3 linked regions of the Caenorhabditis elegans genome follow. The protein of the gene in region 2 purifies or fractionates together with the protein of the main gene of each other region. This does not show direct contact. Each region holds a gene or a part of one and is shown on either strand. Other genes may lie near its edges.

What was found. Proteins that work in one complex are often made in the same cells at the same time.
Region 1: the proteins of snrp-40.2 (region 2) and F13G3.6 fractionate together in Caenorhabditis elegans (co-fractionation; one large-scale study listed by BioGRID). This does not show direct contact.
Region 3: the proteins of snrp-40.2 (region 2) and F46G10.1 fractionate together in Caenorhabditis elegans (co-fractionation; one large-scale study listed by BioGRID). This does not show direct contact.

Annotation. Positions count from the first base shown.
Region 1 is NC_003279.8:7,301,727-7,308,776, forward strand, and holds F13G3.6 (Glycosyltransferase 2-like domain-containing protein), read right to left. Parts: upstream 2,965-7,050; 5' UTR 2,962-2,964; coding exon 2,842-2,961; intron 2,792-2,841; coding exon 2,518-2,791; intron 2,471-2,517; coding exon 2,217-2,470; intron 2,145-2,216; coding exon 1,975-2,144; intron 1,924-1,974; coding exon 1,786-1,923; intron 1,737-1,785; coding exon 1,619-1,736; 3' UTR 1,574-1,618; downstream 1-1,573. Other genes in the region: Inositol monophosphatase ttx-7, read right to left, coding at 181-301, 346-500, 609-713, 827-963, 1,166-1,243; F13G3.7 (SLC (SoLute Carrier) homolog), read left to right, coding at 3,416-3,430, 3,471-3,788, 3,836-4,058, 4,104-4,227, 4,277-4,376, 4,424-4,576, 4,623-4,694, 4,854-4,970; mrpl-13 (Ribosomal protein L13), read left to right, coding at 5,391-5,483, 6,018-6,182, 6,226-6,312, 6,520-6,792; Innexin eat-5, read right to left, coding at 6,980-7,050.
Region 2 is NC_003279.8:4,189,442-4,197,630, reverse strand, and holds the start of snrp-40.2 (WD_REPEATS_REGION domain-containing protein), read right to left. Parts: upstream 4,391-8,189; 5' UTR 4,384-4,390; coding exon 4,306-4,383; intron 3,696-4,305; coding exon 3,597-3,695; intron 3,208-3,596; coding exon 3,110-3,207; intron 2,921-3,109; coding exon 2,755-2,920; intron 2,045-2,754; coding exon 1,922-2,044; intron 1,121-1,921; coding exon 1,000-1,120; intron 665-999; coding exon 582-664; intron 533-581; coding exon 367-532; intron 1-366. Other genes in the region: cas-2 (C-CAP/cofactor C-like domain-containing protein), read right to left, coding at 4,608-4,952, 5,794-6,419, 6,966-7,158, 7,211-7,335, 7,389-7,473; ppw-1 (Piwi domain-containing protein), read right to left, coding at 7,872-7,968, 8,015-8,189.
Region 3 is NC_003284.9:13,308,654-13,315,442, reverse strand, and holds F46G10.1 (BTB domain-containing protein), read left to right. Parts: upstream 1-3,687; 5' UTR 3,688-3,716; coding exon 3,717-3,788; intron 3,789-3,868; coding exon 3,869-3,927; intron 3,928-3,971; exon of another isoform or gene 3,972-3,978; coding exon 3,979-4,090; intron 4,091-4,312; coding exon 4,313-4,438; intron 4,439-4,975; coding exon 4,976-5,143; 3' UTR 5,144-5,216; downstream 5,217-6,789. Other genes in the region: srxa-8 (G_PROTEIN_RECEP_F1_2 domain-containing protein), read left to right, coding at 6,598-6,706, 6,754-6,789.

The DNA.
Region 1 (7,050 bases), 3.1 Mb from region 2:
GAGATCGAATTGAGCCAAGTTGAAGTATGAGCACACTTTCCGCAATGACTGGAATTTGCAACGTTTCTATGTGAATGTAAATAAAATTGAAAGTAAAACGTGCAAAACCAGCGCGGGAAGTGTGGAGGTATATTTTTTGTAAAAAAGTAATCAATTTTAGACCAAAAAATTAAAACAAACCCTCGCACACCAGCCATCACTTGATTTCGCATGTTTGACTGGGCAATGTCGAGCCAGCGATCGCCGAACTGAACACGATTATGCAGACCGAGAGATTGACAGAGAACTCCCTTTGAAAGCACTTCAAAAAGCAGGGTGCATGACAAGAAAAGTGCAATTACTTACATTGATTCTTTGATGCTCGGATTGGAAATCCATTTTTGAAAGCTCCCTTTCCGAGTTGAGCGAGATAAAGTTCATTAGTGATTGGATTGTATACGATTCCAGCACGAATTTGTTTTTTGATTGCAAGTCCAACGCAGATTGCGATCATAGGGATTCTATAATAACATAAGAATTTGTTTTTCGAGAAAAATTTGAGTCCAAATTAGAAATTAAATAACGCGATTTGCCATTATTTGAAGAGTCCGATTTAAAAAAAATCTTACCTATGAACAAAGTTAGTAGTTCCATCAATCGGATCAATAATCCATGTTGGTGCATCAGTCCATTCAATTTTCGCACCTCCGGCTACAGATTCCTCGCCAATGAATCTGAATCAAAATAGTAAATTTATGTAAATACTCGATTGAAAAAGAAAGTCCAACTGGTTGTCATGGAGACAATGAGTGAAATCGAGCGGACCGTGGGAATTCCTTGCTCTTACCTATGTCCTTTGAATCTCTCGGAGAGCCCTTCGATGAGAAGCTTTTCAACAGCTTGGTCAGTTTCAGTCACCAAATCAGTATTCGATGATTTTGTGTCAACCTTGCTTTCCGGGGAGTCAAACGCGGTACGGACGAGCTGAAAATGTTTTTTTCGAATATTGATGTTTTTTCAAATAATAAAATTTGTTTCGTAACTGAGGAATAGAGAATGTTGTTTTTCGAGTTACGCATTTGATTTAAATGTGCATATTTGTAAAATTAACAAAAATAAGACAAAGATAATAACGACGTTGTTGTTTTAGGAAACAGTTTGATTTTTTAATCCGAATTCAACTCACCGTTCCAGCTTTTTTAACCAACTCAATGGCGTAGTCGACGAAAACTTGCTCTTCCTCGTGGATTGGTTGGAACACCATCTAAAACTTAAAATCAATGAATAAAGAGCTGAAGGGAACCACTTTGCCGAAAAACAATAAAATAAATTAAAGAAGCTAAACGGAGAAGCCGTCTATTAGGAAAACTAACTCGCGCCAGAGTCGTTTTTCCAACGACGCGAGCAGACGGAGCGAGAAAATTAGAGATCACTCGGAGACACGAGACGCAGAGACACCTAGTAATCTCTTCCCATGTTCTGTTAGGAAAAATGATAACGACGAGGGAGAAAAATGACCAGACACAAAAATTTGCAACATCAAAGTACATTGGAGTCACTGAGAACCAATGAGACAACGCAAAATGCAAAATTTAAACGGATAAATTGTTTATTATATCAAGTATCGGATAGCAGTCTGTCAACCAAAGTAAACCAAGTCGACGTGCTCTTTCCAGCCTTTTCGTTCAATTATACGCTCCAAATCACCATTTGTCAAGTCCAATTTGACACAAACGACGAGCGGAGGCCTGGCATTTCTAAAACAAATAATACGTTTAGTAAGAAACTGAGAAAGTGAAGACATACTCAAGGTTAACAATTGGAACTTTGTGAGTCACACTGCGTGACACTTCATCAAACTCTTCATGAACACCTCTCCCGATTTTTGACTCATCAATATCGCAAAATTCTCTGACTTTGATCTTCTCGTCATCTGTGAGACTTCTAAAGAATGTAGTATATGTTGAAAGAATGTTTTCAAGCATAAACCATTACTTGAAAAGACGTTTTCCTTGCTTCCCAGCACTCCAGATTGTGAATTTGTCCCATTTTGCGATGTATTTCTCTTTTAATCTCGATAAACGGAAATTCCAAATTGTTTGTTCTTGAACGCTGTGTGATGCACAGTTTTTATGGTATCGGTACATGACAATGTCATCATCGACCTGAAATAACACACATTTTGAAATGAATTTTTTTCAAGCTAACTTTCCAGCTAAAATTGCCAATTTACTTACTTTATCAAAAATACACTCCGGGAAATCCAAGCACTTGTAGAAAAATTCTAAGTCTTCAGGAAAACCACACGAAACATCTGTTCGAAAACCGCCAACCTTATCGAAAAGTGCTCTACTAATGAACCAAGTAGGAGCAACGAGCGTGGGACCATGAGATGTGTAGACTTGACTTCTGATTTTGTCTCCGATCATCGAGTTCGCCCATTTTGTGTATCTTGTTGTGGAGCCTTCTGGTAGTCTATGAAACTGTCCACCTAACAAACAGTTAGGATCGTATTATACTTAACTTCAATTTATTCACCTACAAAAATTAAATCATCTCCAGACTTCGATAACTTCGTTGCCAACTCCAATTGGCTTTTGATTCTGTTCGGAGAGCTGACATCATCTGCATCATTGAAACAGAGATATCTTCCTTTCGAAGATCTTACAGCACAATCCTTAGCGGCACCAACTCCACCGGGTTGAGGAACGTGTGTAACAACGACATTCATTCCCATCTCTTCGAACTCGAGCCGCGCATTTTCCAGAATTCTAACAGTGTCATCTACACTCCCGTCGTCAGCCAAACAAATCTGAGATATTTTTATTAATTAGAAGAAACAAAACCATACGCATTTCTAACCTCAATTTTTGAATTTTCACAAGCTGTCTGGTCGAGTAGACCGTTGAGTGTTTCCCGCAAGAACTTTTCTACATTTTTGGCTGGAATTATGACAGAGACGTCATATTGATAGTTCATCATACCCTATAAACATTCAATTGAACAATAACCAACTATAAAACGAAAAAATTCATAAAAGCTGAAAGAGCGTTACCGAAAACGGAAAACAAAACATTAAAATGGAATTTTAAACTTTGAATAAAAATAAACAAGGCGCATTACGATGCTCCGTTCTTACGACGCTGTGTCTCTCTCAATAGCACACTCCCTCGCCGTAATGCGGTGCCTCTTTTTTGTTGGTGAACATTTTTAAACTACTCGTTCTTTGTTGATGTTTTTCTCTCCATCTGTCTATTTTTCTATAAAATTTTAAAAAATACGTATTTTCCTGTTTTAGTCAGATTATCAAAATATCCGCTTGAAGTTCCTTCGAAAAAACTCTCCAGGTGATGCTCAATTCTAAGCCGATTCTCACACTTTGCTCGTTTTTGCCTTGAAGACCAAACGATCGACTATTTGATTTTAAAATTAGAACATGCGGTTCGCAAAGGTATGCTCTATCCGATATTAAAAGTTCTAATGTTCATAAGATGTTACAGATGGTTTCGTCTGAAATGGACACCGCGATTGAGGCTCGGTCAATAGCAACATCCCCGCTAAACTCGAAAGTATCTCCACTGAGTCAAATACAGAAGGACAAGCTTTTAGTAATTCAATGGGAACATCTCAACTTGTACAAATTCTATCCAATGGCTCTGTGCAGTTCATGGACAATCAGGTGCATGCTGTATCCAATGTCTGTTGTGAAGAGCAGACTACAACTACAGAGACAAAATAATGTGTATAACGGAATGCGAGATGCATTTGTTAAAATCATTCGTCAAGAAGGAATCGGCGCTTTGTATAAAGTTAGTTTTAGTTACCGGATGTTTTATTGAAATTTAAAATATTTCAGGGATTCTGGATGACACTTCCCCAGCTGTCAGCTTCATTTTTATATTCATCAGCTTATGAAAGAGTCAGAGACTTGCTTCAAACCCATCTTCATATTACTAATCACTCTGTGGTATCTGCATTAGCCGGAGGAATCGCTTCTCCTTGTGCACAGCTAATATTTGTACCAACTGACATTGTGGCTCAACATATGATGGTTCATAATAATCCAGAAGCATTTGGAGGTAAATCGCTTTTTTGAAATGTTTGCTCTGAAGAATATAATTTAGGTGGAGAGAAGAATATACCAGTAGCAGATGCAATCAGAAAAGATGGTCTCGAAGGCAGAAGAACGTTAGGTTTGAGAGTTATCAGGGCCGTGTACAAAGTTGATGGAATTTTCGGTTTTTATAGGTATTTTTATATTTTACAGTTTCAATTATGACATATTTTAAAATTTCAGAGGATTCCTATCCGCAATCATGTTGTATATTCCTTCAACAATGGTTTTCTGGTCTACATATTACAATTCATTAGCAGTGTTCAGAATGATTCGTGAAAAAGTAGGTTAAAGTTATGCTAAACTGAATTAAGTCAATTATTAATTCAGGTCACTGAACTTGAATATGGAGTGAAACCAACATCTCCTTCCGAAGTTGATGATCGGAATTTGTTCCTGGACCAAGCTGTGAGCGGTTCTATTGGCGGAGTCGCTAGTGCAATGGTTACAAATCCATTGGAGATGCTGAGAATTCGGTTACAGGTAAGAATTTTAGTAATCTAATTCAATGAAATTAAAATATTTTCAGGTTCATCGAACAACGTACAGGGAAACGATTGTTAGACTATGGAAGTATGAGAAAGCACAAGTATTCACCAAGGTATGGTTTTGCCAAATCAAGATATACCAAATTTAGAAAATGAGCTCAGAAATCAACATGTTTACACCATTTTTTTGCTTCAAATAAGTATCCGTAAAATATGCTGAGCTCACGAAAAATATTAGTTAAATACATTTATATATGTTTTTAATATTTCAGGGTCTCGCACCGCGTATGGTGAATAATGCTCTCTATTCAAGTCTTGTAATGCTTGCCTATGAAAGTGTCAAACGGTTCTCAGTTCTGCCCGAGTTTAAAAACAAAATCGTCTGGTGATCGCACCTGCTCATTTTCGAATTTTTACTGCTCACACACGTGTATTCATACTTTCATCCAAAAAAATAATCTAAGATTTCTTATTTTGCAGCAATGCAACACCGCTTTCGTTTCTCCTAGAAGATTATTAGATGCTGTCCAAAATTGTAAATTTTGTGTGATCATATCACCCCAAATTCCTTCTTTCCGCTCTCTTCGAATTCTGTTCTATGAACTTTTCTTTTTTTTTTGTAATTGTTTCTTTAATATTCTTTTTTTTCTCACTATTCTGGTTCGGTCCCTTCTCATTTTCGAGTATAAATCCTTTGATGTTTGCTTTTTCTTTTTGATTTTTCCTTTTGAGGTAAATTTCCTCTAATATCTTTATTATATCATTTATTCGTTGAAATTACATTTTGAAAATCATTTACAAACAATCAGATGTCCTACCGGCGTGCCGTTTCTCGATTTGACCGTGTTAACCAATGGCTGCAGTTTTCGAGACAATGGCACGTGATTGATGCGAATCAACAAGTATGTATACCTTTAAGCCTCTTGTTTTGTTTTTTTGAATGTTTGAACGTAAACATGTCGACGATCAAATGGGAAAACATGTTGTTGACAAATGGAAGTGTTAAGTAATAATATAAGTGCAATCCTTTCTAATACACATAGTTATTCAAATAATACAAATTATTGCTCACTGATAAAAAATAATTCAACAATGACCAAACACAATAGTAAAGCTTTTCAAAAAATTCCTGAATTTATTTTATTAGCACGCAAATTGTAGTAATTACTCAGTTTTTTCCACTTATATTATAATGTCGTAAGTCCGCCAAAACCCAATTTGGCACGATTATTTTAAAGTTTAATTTTTTTAATCTTGAAAACTACAGAAAATCGCATTCTCTCTTCAATTTTTTCCTCTGAACAATCTGGAAAAAAAATCGAAAAAGTCCATTTTTGTAAAAAAAAATTACCAGAAAACAAAAATGTACATTCGAATAACAGAAAAACATAATAACAACATGAATATATTTATTTTTATTTCATATTTAATTCCAGGACGCCGAACTTCTTGGTGATAAAGTTGCTCGATATCTCGCAGGGAAACACAAACCAATTTTCCATCCAGAAACTGATTGTGGAGATCATGTAGTTGTTACAAACTGCAAAGATATTGCAATGCATGCATTTGACTGGAAACACACAATTTATAAGTTCAATATGGTGATTTTTGCTGCTTTTATAGAAATTATCAATTCTTTTGCAGGAATATCCAAAAAGTAAAGCTGATATTCCAGCATGGCAGATTCACGATTACGATCAATGCAGAATAGCTTTTTTATCGGTTTATAGGGTGAGTGTATTTTTATTTTGTAATTTATGTCATCCAATTTTTTTAAGTTTTGAAGTATTTTTGAAAAAAAAATAATCTAATGATTTATTCAACGTTAAAAATGTCTTTAAAATTTACCTGAAAATTAAACAAAACAATTTTTTGGCAATAACTAATATAAACTATTCGAACACCTGAAGTACGCGGTGGTTATATTCTTTTTTTCAGTCACTTGGAAATAATCTTCTCCGACGTCGTCACATCCAACGCCTACATTTATTCCCAGATGAAGAAATGGCAGAATTTGTACGAAAAAATATTGGAAGTCAGCTGCGACAAGTTCAAGGAGTTGTGAAACGAAGTGATGAATATACGGCAGAAGAGAGAGCAAACTTCCCAAGAGTTGTGAAATTCGCAGATAAGCATGTCGTTGATTGGGAGAAAAGCATTCCAAATCCGGGAAGACATGTGAAACCAGTGCCCGGACAAAAGGATAAATAGATGATCTCGAGTAGGATTTTGTAGAGTCTGTAGTCTAATTTTCCTTTTTTTTCAAATATTTTTGTTGAAATTGTTTCTGTTGGTATTTTTATGAATATAAGAACTATTAAGAAAATATTCAATTAACACGAAAACTATTCATAACAACAATTAAGAGAAAAAATTTTGAAAACCCATAGAAAAATGATTAAATGAAACTCCGTTGCTCTTCGAAAAGCTTTTCTGATTTCAAACTAGATGATTTCGTCTCCATGTGGT
Region 2 (8,189 bases):
TTTGAAATTATTAGTTTTTTTTCTGAGAATTATTTTTCGATTTTTCAAAAAAAAATCTAGAATTTCAGATTATTTGAAAAAAAAATTCCTAGAATTCCAGGCCATTTATGTTTTTTTTGTAAATTAAAAAAAATTCCAAAAAAAAAATCGAAAATTTAATTTTTTTGAAAAAGTTCGAATTTTTCAGGTTTACAAGTAGTTTAGTCAAAATACTTTATAACTTTTTGAAAATAAATTCTCACTCTTCCTCGGGGAGCTACACGAGCTGCGTAAATCGACACACTGCATTGGAAGAGATAATTTTTCCATATTTTTCCAATAGTTTCATAGTTTTAACCATTTTGAAAATATCAAAAAAAAACTCACGAATCTGTTGAGTTGGATGAAGAGCAGTGCAGTTGACGGAACCAAGATGTCCAGGAAGTTTATAGACACATGCACGCGATTTTGCATTCCAAACATAGACGAAACGATCCGCAGAGCCGGCGGTGATGTAGTTGTCGCGTGGAGACCAGCCGCATTTCAAAAGATTCTGGAAACATAAATTTGGAAAAAATATATAGGAATTTCAAAAAATAAACCTTTTCAAAATTATGCGAAGCTCCTTGATATCTGGCAACGAGCCTCTGAGCAGGAACAAATGGTCGAATATCCCAACTCATCACTGAAAAATTTAATTAATTTTTTTTCTCAATGTTTTTTAATTTTTCAAATTTTTTCTATGAGAAAAAACATTCAAGATAATATAATTGTATTATAAAAAAGAAGAAAAATGCCAAAATTTTAACTATTTTTCAAAACTTTCAAAAAAAATTATTTTGGAAAATTTCGAAAAATAGCTCAGATTTTTGGCATTTTTCTTTTTTTTTGAAAAAATTTTTCTCTTCCATTTTCGTTTTCTCACAAACTAAATTTGAGAAAATCTTCAATTTTTGCCAGTTTTCTTAAATTTTTTTTTCAATTTTTCCAATTATCTTTTATTCCTGTAGTAATACATACAAGAACAATCCATCGAGTTGGAAAGCAAAAAGTTTCCATTATGACTGACAGAAAGAGAAGTGATCGTATCGCGGTGTCCGGAGAGCACATATCTGACGTCATTTCGGAGCATGTCCCAGACCTGAAAATTTGGAATTTTGGGAAATTTCGTACTCTGGAATGGAGAACATTAAAAACATTAAATTTTAAAAAAAACCCAGTTTTTGCGGAATTTGAACAAAAAATGCTAAAATTGTCATATTTCTGAAAATGTGTAGATTACCAAAAGTTGTGAATTTCAAAAATATTATATATTTCTAAAATTTCCAAAATTCCAAATATTTAAAAATATTTCTGATATAAAAAATTTTAAGAATTCTAAACTTTTGAATTTAAAGAAATTTCTAAAATTTCTAAATTTCCTAAAATTTCAAAAAATCTTAAAAAGTGAATTTATTACAAATTTGCAAAACCAATTCTCAATTAGTTCCAGAAACCTTCTTCTTCAAAATATTTCTTAAATAACCGGAAATTCGTCATCCATGTATTAATTGGATGAAAAAGGATTGAGCGACAGATTTTTCATTTCCTTTCCACTTTCGTTTTACTAGAATTGGTCTTGGAGGGCAAATGAATGGAAAAGAGCCAAATGGAATCTATTAGGGTTATTGTAGTAATGACTATAGTCGTAATTCTACAATAGTCTTTATGTTTGCACTTTTTCGGAACTTTCAAATGTGACGTCATTATTTCGTTAAACTCGGTCACCACAAAAATTTCAGCGGCTATTCAGTACACAGTTTTTCAAAAATCTTCCAAATTTATTTTCTACATTCAAACAACTTTTATAAATTTTTTTTAAATGAAAAAACCGCATTTTCATGGGTTCAGGGTTTGAATTTCTTGTGAAGACCCTTGTGTTAAAATTTTCAAAAAAAAAAACCTTAATCTGATTGTCAATTCCTCCACAAATAACATTATCCGCGGCATCGTTGAACGTGACAGCCGTCTGTTGGTATTTGCAGATAAACTTTTTCGCCGCTTCCTTGCTCCGCATATCGTGAACCTGAAAATATTCGTTTCAATGAAAAAAAAAACTTAAAATTTATTATGGAATTTTAAAAGTGGTATTTAAGATTTTTAATTGCACAATTATAAGAGTGTATTTCAGGATTTTCGAATAATTTAATTTGACAGTTTCATTTCACTTTTTTTATTATTAAAGCTCGATTTAAATTGCATAAAAACATTGTAAATATTTCCAATAATTATTTAGAAATATTTTATTTCTGTTAAAAAAGTGGCAATTACTTAGTTGTCGCCTATCGTAATTTTTTAAAGTCGATAAAAATTTTTTTAACGAGAACTATTTTATGTTAATATTAATTATTATTTGAAAACTGTACTTAGGGTTACAACATATTTCGCATTTTGACAATTTACCAAAACTCTTACTGAAAATTTTGAAAAATCTAAAACTTTCCAAGCACCTAATTTCTGTTATTGAATATGGCTCAAAAAATATCAACGAAATATTTTGCGAAATTTTTTTGCTCAAACGTCTTTCAAACTTCAAATTTTTCAAAAAAAGAAGTCATTTTTAAATTTCCTTTCACAATATAAATTCTAGAATCCTTCGTTTTTTTGTGGCTAAAATATATATTTTTTGTATCAAAAAAAGTTGAGAAAAATTTTAAAATTGGAAGTTTTCAATTTCTTTTAAATGTATTTTTATTTGGAAAAATCCGATTTTCGTGTCAACTAAGATCTTTATACCATGACAGTTCCATCATCCGACGCTGAGCAAATCATTTGAGGACCTCGACGATTCACATCAACCGAATTGACAATATCGGTATGAGATTTGAAGTTTCGAATACACGAACCGGTTTCCATATCCCAGACACGAACGGTTTTATCGGTTCCAGCAGATACAAGATGACTGAAATTTTGGAAAAGTTTTTTTGGGTATTTGGATGGATTTTTCAATAAAATCTATTTTAATTCCGCGTCCAAAACGCGAAAAAATCTCCAAATTTTCATGAAAATTGTACCGAAAACTGACGGAAAATAAAACCTCGGGATTTATTTTGGACGCTGAAAATCAGAAAAATAAAAATAGAAAAGAAACCTCGAATCCGCGTTGAATTTCACTTCCATAATGGCTCCTTTGTGCCCTTTGAGAACTGCAAAATTCTCACATTCGCCAAACACATTCCACAGGAAGATCTGAATGAAAAATAAGTGTAATTTCAGTGAAACGCTATTCTATTGCTACACGGAAGCGATTTTTACGTCAAAAGTACGGTACCAGGTCTCGACACGACAAGGTGTGCGCCTTTGAAGAGTACTGTAGTTTCAAACTTTTGTTGCTGCGGAATTCTCATCGAATTTTTATAATTTTTACGAAAAGAAATATATTTATTTATCAGGAAAGTCAAATATAACAATAAAAGCTCTTAGTTTAATTTTTATTTAAAAAAAACTCCACAGCAACAAAAGTTGAAAACTACAGTACTTTTTAAAGGCACACACCATTTCGCATTTTACAAAGCACCAGTCGTGTCGAGACCTGGGTACCGTATTCTTGATGTAAAAAACGTCAAATTTCAAAAAACCTGTTGATCATATCCGGCACTAGCAAGAAAACTTCCATCCGAACTGAATTGGGACGTGTAAATCTCTCCTCCGTGTCCTTGAAGAACCATTGTTGGAGCCTGAAATTTATTTTTTTGTGTCGAAAAATTGCAATTTTTTGTAATTCTAACAAGGGTGGCGGTTTTTTCGATTTTCTGAAAATATGATTTCGAAAAATTCCAAAAAAATTTTTTTAAATTTTATATTGTCTTATCGAATTTTGTCGAAATTACGAAAAATTAAAAAATCGGAAAAAAAATTTGAGTTCAAAAATTGTTACAATTTTTTTCATGTTGATGAGTACTATATTACTCTTTAAAGTACACAGTACTCTTACAGCAGTTTTACAGTACTCTTTACTGTACTCTTTAAAGGCGCGCATCTTTTCGTATAAAACAAATTTCTTCTGTAAAAAAGAAAAATAGCAAAATTTTTAGTTATTTTTCAAAAATTTCAATGTTTTCATAAATTTCTCAATTTTTGAAAAATAATTTTTCACAATTTCTCAGCGAATTTTTTCTTTGATTCACTGGAAAATCTAAAATATAATTCAAGCTATTTTTTCGAAAAAGCTAGATTTTTTTTAAAATCGAGAGAAAACGAAAAATTCCAAAATACTTTTTTTTTCAAACAAAAAAAAATCGAAAAAGCCAAATTTCTTCCCAAACAAAAAATTTCTAAAAATCAAACCATCAAGCTTGAAGTCCTTTTGGGTAACTCTAAAAATTGTGAAGCCATTTGATTGCGAGCTGGGATTACCATCGCCATTTTGCACCTGTAATGTTCGGAAAGTGGCTTCAGATTATTTGCTTTTTCCTAAATATTCCAATATCTTGAAGCATTAATAATCAGCGTTAATCAAAACAAATTAAAAAACGAGAAAAATCACAGAAAATAATTTATTTTTTGATAGGAGAACGAGATCCAGCAGGAGGAAGAGATGAGGGATAGTAGGGAGATATTCGGAGAATGCATTAAAACTTTAAAGCTAATTATACAATTTCAGATGCGACAGTGACAAGCTTCTTTCCAACAATCTTCGTCATAAACTGCTCTGGCAATGCCATTTCCGTGTACTCATCGTCTCCATCTTCCAACATCGCGGAGATGTTCATCTCACTGGATTTGGATGCAACAATTTGAGCATTCAAAGCATCACGTGACAGATAGATATGACATCCATCGGTTTTTTGAATCGAAACAGTTGGAAGTTCTCCGAGAGTTTGAATTTGAATTGATTGGCAATTGATGATTTCACATTGAGCAACAAGACCATCAAATACGACTGAAGTTTTACGGCATCCGTCCAATGTAATTGCGTTGGCCTTTCCTTTGATCTGTAATTTAATTTTTAGACTTTCTTTTTTGATAAATTTTTTTATCCATTAGAATTAAGGGTGTCAGTTTCTCAATTTTCTAATAAATCGAAAAAAAAATTCGTTTTACAGAAAATGTTCGTCATATTTTTTTGATTTTTAGTTTTTCTGATATTTCGAAAAGGGTGTCGGTTTTTTCGAATTTTTTCAAGAAAACAATTTTCAGAAAATCAAACATAAATATATATTCTAAAATTTTGTTAATGTTGATGAAAAACTAATAAGAAAACATATCAATTTTATCTAAAAAAAAAACAGAAAAATTACCAGAATTTAAAGATATTAGTTTCGAAACATTAAAAATTTCTTTGGAAATGGAAAACAGGAAATCCGTAATTGGAATTTTTGGTTTCTTTTCAATTTCTAGTTTTTCAGATATTTCGAAAAAGCTTCAATTTCTCGAAAAATATCTAAAAATTTCGGTCATTTTCTTCTTTTCAGAAAAAAATGTATATGTTTTCTTTTTATTTTTTTCCATCAACATTAACAAAATTTGATAAATTTTTCGATTTTCTGGAAAACCGAAAATTTTACGTTTTTATAGCCACAATTTGTTTAACTTAAAAATTAGTGTCAAAAATGACTTGTTTCATCTGAAAATAAAATTTATTCCACTTAAAACATCTGAGAAAAAGCATAAAAGTGGCCGAGTTTTTATTTTTTAAACTGAAATAAATTACATTTTTAAATTTAAAAAATTAAAAAGGTTTTATATATTTTGACACTGATTTTCAATATAAAAGCCTTGAAAAACCGGCCATTTTGTGTGAAATTGCGAAAAAATAATCGAATAAAAATTAACCTTGATAATAGAATCGTTACACTTGTAAATATAAATCGATTCCTTCTTATCCGTAACTTCAACGACGGCATTCTTATTACCAACTTGATGATCAACTTTCCAAATCTTTCCATCCCAGAAAATGCTCGATTCGTGAATTTTCTCCGGTTTCTTGTTCTCGCTCACCTTTCTTTCTTCAGTTTTTCGATTCATCTGTCCATTTACCTCACGAAGTACCGGATTTTTGTGAGTTTGCATTTCAGGGGTGACTTTCTTCAAACGACTAGTAGCCGATAATCCCGTATTGAGAGATTCCAGTAGAGCACCGACACCAGAAGGCTTGGAAGGCGCAATCAATGAAATTGGTGGAGGTGGTGGTGGCGGCGGCGTTGGAGCTCCTCCACTTTTCCTGTTACACATCGGAGTCGCACCGGGATCCGAATTCCAGACAAGACCAGTCGTGTGATGTTGTCGCACATATTCATGAAGACTCAGCATGAGTTCTTTGATAGATTTAGCCCATTCCGAATGGAAATCATTTTTTCCTTTGTGCTCCATAAGAATACGATTTAGGTAGAAGACTGATGTATCGATAGCATCTTTGATGAATGGAGCAGGAGTTTTTGGTTCAGCAACCCAACCGAAACCTGAAATAATTGGGAGTGTATTATTTTCAAATTTACAGATTTAGCAATGGTGTAACCGAAACATTATCGAAAAAAATCTAAGTTTAATCAAATTTTTTAAAGAAAAAAAAATATATATTAAAAGATATTTTTCGAAAAAACCGACACCCTTGAGATAAAAATTGCCTTTTTTCTCATTCAAGCTCGTCGAGTAGTGTCGATTTACGAAATTTTTTCAACAATTTTCATGCCATTTTCAGTTTTTAAACGAGTTTCCATTGTTTTTTTTCGAAAACTTTTTTTTGGGTCAATCGAACATTATCATAAAACTCGCGAAATTTCATATTTTCAACAAAAAGCAAAACCCACAAAAATTAAGGAAACTCGTTTAAACTGAAATTGAAAAAATTGGAAAATTTCGTAAATCGACACAACACGGCGCGCTCCAATGAGAATATGGCGCGTGCTTGAAAAAAGTAATGGATGAACAAGCGATTTCAAGCTGAAATATATAAAATAATGAAGAGTTTTTCACATAGATATTCGGAATCAGGGGCAAATTTTCACCTCCAACCGCAGCTTCAAGTCCGCAGATATGATTATAGAATTCGGATTTTCGATTTTTCTCCTTGAAATCGGAAAATGCAACAATTTCCTTCGACAAATCGTTCACAAGAGTCGCGAACTCGTCGTTGTCCGCCTTTTTGCGCCCACACGCAATCCACAAAAAATATCGATGCGTGAAAAATAGACTCCTAGTCTGAAACATAATTTTCGATAAAATTTGAATTAAATATTATATATTTCCTTACCATGCATCCAAGGCGATTCAAATCTCCTCCAATTTTTGCAGATAAATCATAAAACGAGACGAGATTCTCACAGATCGCATCGTCATAAAGATTAATGATTTGAGGCGTCGCGTCGACCGGAGTTTCTAAAAAGCAGTTTTTTTGGAATTTATAATTTCGAGAACAATTATTTAATTGCCTTTTTTGTTCGAGTCATATTTCAGCAATATATTCTCCGTTCGATTCGCAACATTCTCCAATCGAGACACAACAGAAGGATCCATCTGTAATGTTGTAAAAATAACTTTTAAAAATCGGAATTTTCTGCCAGAAAAAGAATGACATTTTGTTCGAAAGAAAGTAATAACATTACAAAACAGGTACAAACAGCTGAATTAGAAGAAATAAAACGTCAACTTCTCCAGTCACAGCGGCAGCTGCTAATATTTTAATTTTTAAAATCAATACCAAAACTTTTGAAAATATATCAGAATGAGATTATCAACAGGAATTGTCCAAGAAGCGATGCATTTTATTCTTAAATCATTTTATCCATTCCGACAATAATTACAAATTACAATGACCAAATGCTAAAAAATATACAATCATAGCGAAAGTATTCTGGGTTTACGGAAATAAAACATTATACAGCCAAGTAAAAGAAACGGAGGAGTACAGATAATTATGCATTGAAACGAGTGGTGAAGAGCTTCTTCTCTCCGTAGCCATATGCACTGTTGGTAGCCGCGAGATCGATTTGTCCTTCATTGTAGATTGGACTGAAAATAATAAATGAGATGTCGTATACATTTTACTGTCACTTACCCTTGATTGGCGGCAAGAACCATTGCTCCACGTTGACTGTAACGATCAGCAATGTACAGTGGGACGGGAAGTCCGACCGGATGGAAGACAATCTGATGATCGTAGCAAAGATCATTGGTCAATTGCTCGAGATGCCACAATGGCTCAGCTTGTGGGCCTGCTTTAGTGGTGAAGA
Region 3 (6,789 bases), on a different chromosome or scaffold from region 2:
AATCGAATAAAAACGCCACGAAAAACATGATACAACCACAAAACACAAAGAATACAAGATATAGTCAACGTCACTACCACATTCTTCAAAGATATGTGACAGCGTTGATGGTTTAATCATTTGATTTGTTTCGGTGCAAACAGATGAAAAACAGATGCGTTAAAGAATGCGCCCATTTTTGTTAATGAATGAGTCATATGTCATATGTCAATTTGGCAAACGGTACTATTTTTGACAAATTGTCAGTTGATTTGAGATATAGAAGGCCGGTTTGAACAGATTCTATGACAGGCAAAAACCAAAAACAAAAAAAAAACATACTAGGGAATATGTTTTATTGGAATTTTGAAAACACTATGTATGGATTTATTGGAATTGTTATTATAATAGCAATAATAACAGTAACAAAACTTAATTAACTAGCTTGGCTAATTAAGCAGAAATGTACTTGCAGCGTTTGTTATCAGAATGCCAATTGTTAGCAATTTATTTGAATGAAACTTCCGGTGTCATCTGACACGAGCATGTGAAAAATGAATGACCCAGTTGGCAAAAAAATTTTGTCTAACTTTTGTCCATATGAATTTCAATGTGACAAGACGTTTTACACATTTATATTACTCAAAGTGATCATAATTTTTAGATAAAGTTTCAATTTTTAATACAAATTCAAATTGGTAGAATTGGTAGAAAACTCAGAAACGTTTGAAATGTTCTGCTAAATTTTTTGTCATTTTTCAACATGCTTTCGGATTCCTTAAATTAAAATGTTGTTGTGACATAAAACGTGTGGCATCTAGCATGAATGTTTCCCCTGGTTTGTTTTTCCAAAAAACAAAAAAAAAACACAATCTCATTTATATTTTAACGATTTAATAATCGATTCAAAGTCCACCAAAAAATTGACATGACTTTTATCCATTTAAATATGCCTGATAGGAACAATTCTCAACAAGAATTATTGAAATCTGAATTTCTTGCTGGAAATTTCGGAAATAATTGTTTCTCAGTAGAAAATGTTTCCTTTCCATTCTATCCAACACCAATAAATCAACAAACAGTGAAAGAAGCAATGCAATGAAATAAAATGACTATGAAGAAACAATTGCGTGTGGCGCGTTTACAGTGCCTTCGGAAAGATACTTAGAAGAGAGTGCGGGAACATATTGCAAGAATTGAGGGGAATTGAAAGAATCAGGAAGCAAATCTCATTAAGCATACGCCCAGATAATGCATAATGGTGGCTTGGGTTCCAGGCAGTTATAGGAAAAGTAGGCAAAGCTCTTGAAGAGAGAAGTGAAAAAAATTATCTGTGCAATTCTCAATGGTAATTGCAAAAAATAAAAATGTCATTAATAAGGCAGGTTTGTAAAAAACAATGTTACTACTTGCAAAATATTTCCACCGATGCAGAATTGAAATGTTGTCATTTTTAGTATCGACACCATGAAAGTTGAATTTTGCTAACATCTCAAATTATGTCAATTTTTCGTTATCCCAATCTTTCATCTTTATAATTTATTTTGGTCCCCTAGTTATCTAAAATTGATTTATGAATAACTGAATAACCCTAGATTGACATGAAAACGCATACTAAACTGATAGAAATTGCATTATTTTTTTTTTGAAACTTTTACACTTCCCGGTTCATCCGTTTGTTGGTGGTATAATTTCTGTTTAAAAAAACACTTTAAAAGTTTTTTTCGAATTTTTATGGAGTGAATATCTTTTAAAAGTAGTGCAAACTTTGTTTAAATGGACTCCAGCAACAAAAAGTAAAAGGCGAATGGACACTGAAGTAAGTTAATTATCGTTTTAGTTTCGGTTTTTGAAATGGCTTCTTTCAGAAAAAAAAAACGCACTCATATCCTAAAAAGTGTTTTTCATAATAAACAAAAATTATAGTTTCTTCTGTTTTTTTAAATATAAATGTCACTCTAAAATTTTAACAAATTGTTCAGGCAGTTAAAGGAGGACTAACGGTTCGGACGATTTTGAACGTATCGACCCAAAATGGGCCCAAATGAACGAATTTTGTAATGAAATTGCTCAAAAAATTTTCAAAAATGTTTTATGGCGGTTCAAAATTTCGAAAAAATGACACTGATTTTAGCCAAAATCTCGAATTTTGCCCATTTTTCCGTGTCACATCTGTCCGAAATTGCTTTTATCATCCTTTATTGCAAAAATCATCAAAATTGGTTAGCTATCGGCTTTAAATGTACCTTAATCAAGGAAATTAAATGAGATAAACTACCAATATATGCAATAAAGGGTGATAATTCCAAAAAAGCAATTTCGGACAGATGTGACACGGAAAAATGGGCAAAATTAGAGATTTTAGCTAAAATCAGCGTCATTTTTTCGAAATTTTGAACCGCCATAAAAAATTTATGAAAATTGTTTGAGCAGTTTCATTACGAAATTCGTTCATTTGGGCCCATTTTTGGCTTATACGTTCAAAATCGTCCGAACCGTTAGTCCTCCTTTAAACATAATTTCGAAATCAAATATTATTTTTGAAAAACATGAAAATGCCAATCAAAATCTCATATTGTTTCGTTTGGTGTACGGTAACTTTTATTTTTGTTGTTTCAATTTAGCAGCCTTGTTTTAATCAAGAAAATAACTCATGAAAACGTGAAATTAGTTATTCGCACTTCTCGTGCGAGATTAAACAAGTGACATTTTTGCAAATAAAAAATTATTTTCGAGATTAGATTTTCGGCCAGAAAAGTTTTACGGCGGTATAAAACATAATTTGATAGTGCTGCAGCCGCACATATTGTGAAGAAAATAACAAAAAAAAAACAAAATAATTGCCAGTGAAATATCAATTATAATTGACTTTCATTTGACTTTATGATCTGGAACATCTTGTTATCGTCATTGAGCTGCAAGCTACTCCTGAACAACTTTCGTAGTTCTGAAATTGCAGGATAAATTTTTTTTCAGTGAACATACATAGCAGACTGAGCTGTTGGCACGAAAACCGGCAACTGTCGATTTTTTTCCTACCGCTTGTTCAAAAACTGTGAAAAAAACAAAACTTTAAAAACAGAATGGCGCCAGTTAGAATAAGCATACAAGTGCAAAAATTACTATTCAAAAAATGAAAGGTTGTGTTATTTTGAGAGTAGTCAAGTGGTGAATGAATACTTCAATTAAATTTTGAAATTATACGCAAATCATGCGACGGCACTGACCAATCAGCGTTACGTAAAGGAGACGACATACTTCGGTGATTGGTTGGCGGTTTCCTGAATAACACGTGTTTCAAAATTACATTGACATATTTACGGTTTGTCCAAATTCGTAAAATTGGCACTCTTGATCATATTTCTTTGCCTGTTTTTTTTGGCATTTTTCAGAGCGAGCTTCAAAAAAAACTATTCAAATTTTGCCACGCTTTTAATATTATTCACTTTTTCATTTAAATTTTAGATCAATTATAAATGGTTATTATTGAGTGATAACAATATACTTTTTCTAAACACGAATAAGATTTTTTTTTCGAAAATAGGTACCTTTATATGTTTCAAAAGTGTTGAATCACACGTGTTGCCAATCTGAAAATGGGATGGTATCTTCTTATTGACACAAGGTGAATTCAAAAATTTTCCTAACGTCACTGATAACACAACCGACCATTGAGTTTTATTACCTCGATTTTCACTTGCTCGCGTTTTTCACAGGACACGCAGGTTTGACTAATAATGCTAGCTAGAGCTTCTCTTCATTCAAATGGTGTGGATATGCATACCGCTGAGTATGCTGATTATAAAAAGGTGGGTCTTGAAATTGATTCAATTTTCTAATAAATTGTACAGCTAATGAGAAAATTGGAGTATTATAAAACTATGTTTAGGCTGAAGTCACATCTCATCATGCTCGAGACATAGTGCATATTAACGCAGGCGGCACAAGGTTAGTTGGGAATTGAGAACATGAGATCTGAGAATTTAACGAAGGCTTCAGATTTACTACACTTTACGACACTTTGGCACAGTCAAAGTCGTCATATTTCCTCAACTTTATCCGCATCGACCGCACCAGTGGAAAAATTGTGCTTCTTCAACAGAGAACTATTGTGGGTGACAATCTAGAAATAAATATACATACTAATGAGGATGCAGAATTTTTTAATTGGAGACTATTAGGTTATCTAGAAGCTAGCTGAAAGCCTAAATCCTACTGAAAAAACTTCCAACAATTTTTACTTGTGCTTTTTTCAGAATTATTTTTCTGAATTTCAAGAGAATGCTTTTAATCCTCATAGCTCTCTCTAAAAAAATTTCAATACAAATTTCAGCGTGATGAGTCAGGAGCAATCTTCGTGAACCGGGACGGGCGTCTGTTTGCATTCGTTCTGCAATTTATGAGAGACGGAAAGAACACTGTCCTGCCAAAAGATAAAGACGTGTTAGCACAGCTCAAAGTAGGTGTTTCATGTTTAATTTCATCGCCTTCTTAACCATGCGTTGTCATTGATAAGCACAGTTGCTTGTTTACTAGAGGTACACCGAGGTGTGCCTTGTGTTTTATGGGTATTTATGTGTTGGCGATTGTGTGTCACGAATATTGGTATACCTAATCAATTGGCATGGGTAGAGAAAATTAAGTTATACAATTTAGTCATGTGCAGTTACTATTTTATGATATTGTTAAGGAAAAACAATATGTTTTGAAAAATTGTTTTTTCCAGGAAATATCATTCAAAAATTAATTCAAAGTGCAATATGGAAAAAAAACCAACAAATACAAGATTAACACTAATGTCAACTATGTCAACAATCATAAAAAATAGAAACTATGAGATTTATGCAAAAAATGTGTAGCATACATAAGTGTGTATATTAAATGAATCTTGAAACACCAAATCAATTTATTGAAAACAATCACAACTTTTAATTTGAAAATAACTCCAATGATGTATGAATTGACAATACATATAAACTTCCCTTATTTTTTCCAGCGAGAAGCAGACTTCTTTGGCATGGAGGTATTCAAGTACCTAATTCAAGAGACACTTGTTGACATTGAAAAGGAACAACGTGCCAACACCAATGATATTGTGGATATTCGCAATTCGGTGAACCAAATTGCGAACAACACGTACTACAATAATGGAGGACGCATTTGAAGTTTACTTCCTCTTTCTGAATAACTTTGTTAATGACCATGAAATAACGGAAATAAAGTGCAAAATTGTGTGTACTTCTGAACGAACTTGTTGAATTTGGTGTTCGTTGAAAATTGACTTGGGGGATGGAGTAATCATATTCAAATTATTTTTAGTGATCCTTGTGAGAACATTTGAAACCAAAAAGATGTGCTTAAAATTCTGAACACTTTTAAATTAAGAAAAATCGGTAGAATCGAGTTATCGAAAATCAAAACGTCTTACTAAACTTCAATTACATTAGCCATAAAAAACTATAGAAAATATCGATTTTCAAAAACTAAATTATATTCAATCTTTTACAGATTTCTGAAAACCAAGTCAAAACTGATAAAAGATACAACTCGGAAAATTGCTCTAAATCAGCAATGTGGAGAAAAATATTTCGTTTAATATTTTTGATTGGGGGGGGGGACTTTATTGGTTGTCCTGAATCTCTCTCGAAAGTTAGTTTCCTCGCATAAATTAGTCTTGCGCTCTTAATTAGCATTGTTTCTGAGCAATTTTTTGTGTCTTGAAGCCTGCGTCGCTGCAGTTGCAACTGAAAACTAATACAGATGTTTTCGTGTACTGTTTATTTTTTGCCTGCAGTTAAAATAGATCTATTTACTTGTTTTGTGCAGACTTAAAAAAGTAACAATGTTCTGTTCAGTGTGCTCAATAGGTAAACAACTTTTTTTGAAAGTTTGTTGAAAGATACTTAAAAAATTCGAGCTCCATGTGAACATGCGCTATGAAACGTTATCTTGCCATGAATTAATCGTTATTATTATTAAAAATTCTTTTGATTTTTTTAAACTTTTGAAAACTATTAAAAATACATAAACATTTGCAAATATTTTGCAATAAAACTCTTTAAGACTTAAGTTTCTACGACTGCAGTTAAAACTATTTACAACGAAATATTTACAAGATGTGACCCGGAACCCGGAACATTTTGCCACGTTTAATATCAAAGCACGATCATTGAGCACCATGTTGACCAGCATGGTACGTGTAATATTTTTACACGCTTCGTTGGAGACAAATTACATGATGAAGTTTATTTATTTTGATAATCAACCAGTCGGATAATTTCGAAAATATACGATTTTGATCTAAACCCAAATTTTTCAGAATGTGCGCAAGTTCAGTTTCAGAGGTTCCGTTCTACTTCCCTGTACATTTTTTTTTCTGCGAATCACACTATTATATCTAACTCATAAAACCCTTTATTTAGTGGGCGCTTTTGCGAATAGGAGAAATTGTTCTCAGAATCCAATAGTTTCGAACACATTTTTATCACTGTCACGCAATTCAGCATGATTCAATTTCTGTCACGTTTTTCTCGCATTTCAGTCTATATCCCTTTTCAGCAGTTGTGACTCTACATTCTCTCCTAATCGAATTTGAAGCGTTCAACAATTTTCGATAAAATGACACCGAAGTATCAACTGTTTTTAATTTTTATGATAATACTTCAAACAATGTGCATGCTTTACAACATTGTGCTCCTCACAGCAACAATAATAAATCGTCGGAACGGTAGTTTTTGAATTTTAGGAGTCAATTACATTCAATTAATTTTTAAGCTGCACTCCCACTGGCCTATATTGTTTTAATGAGCA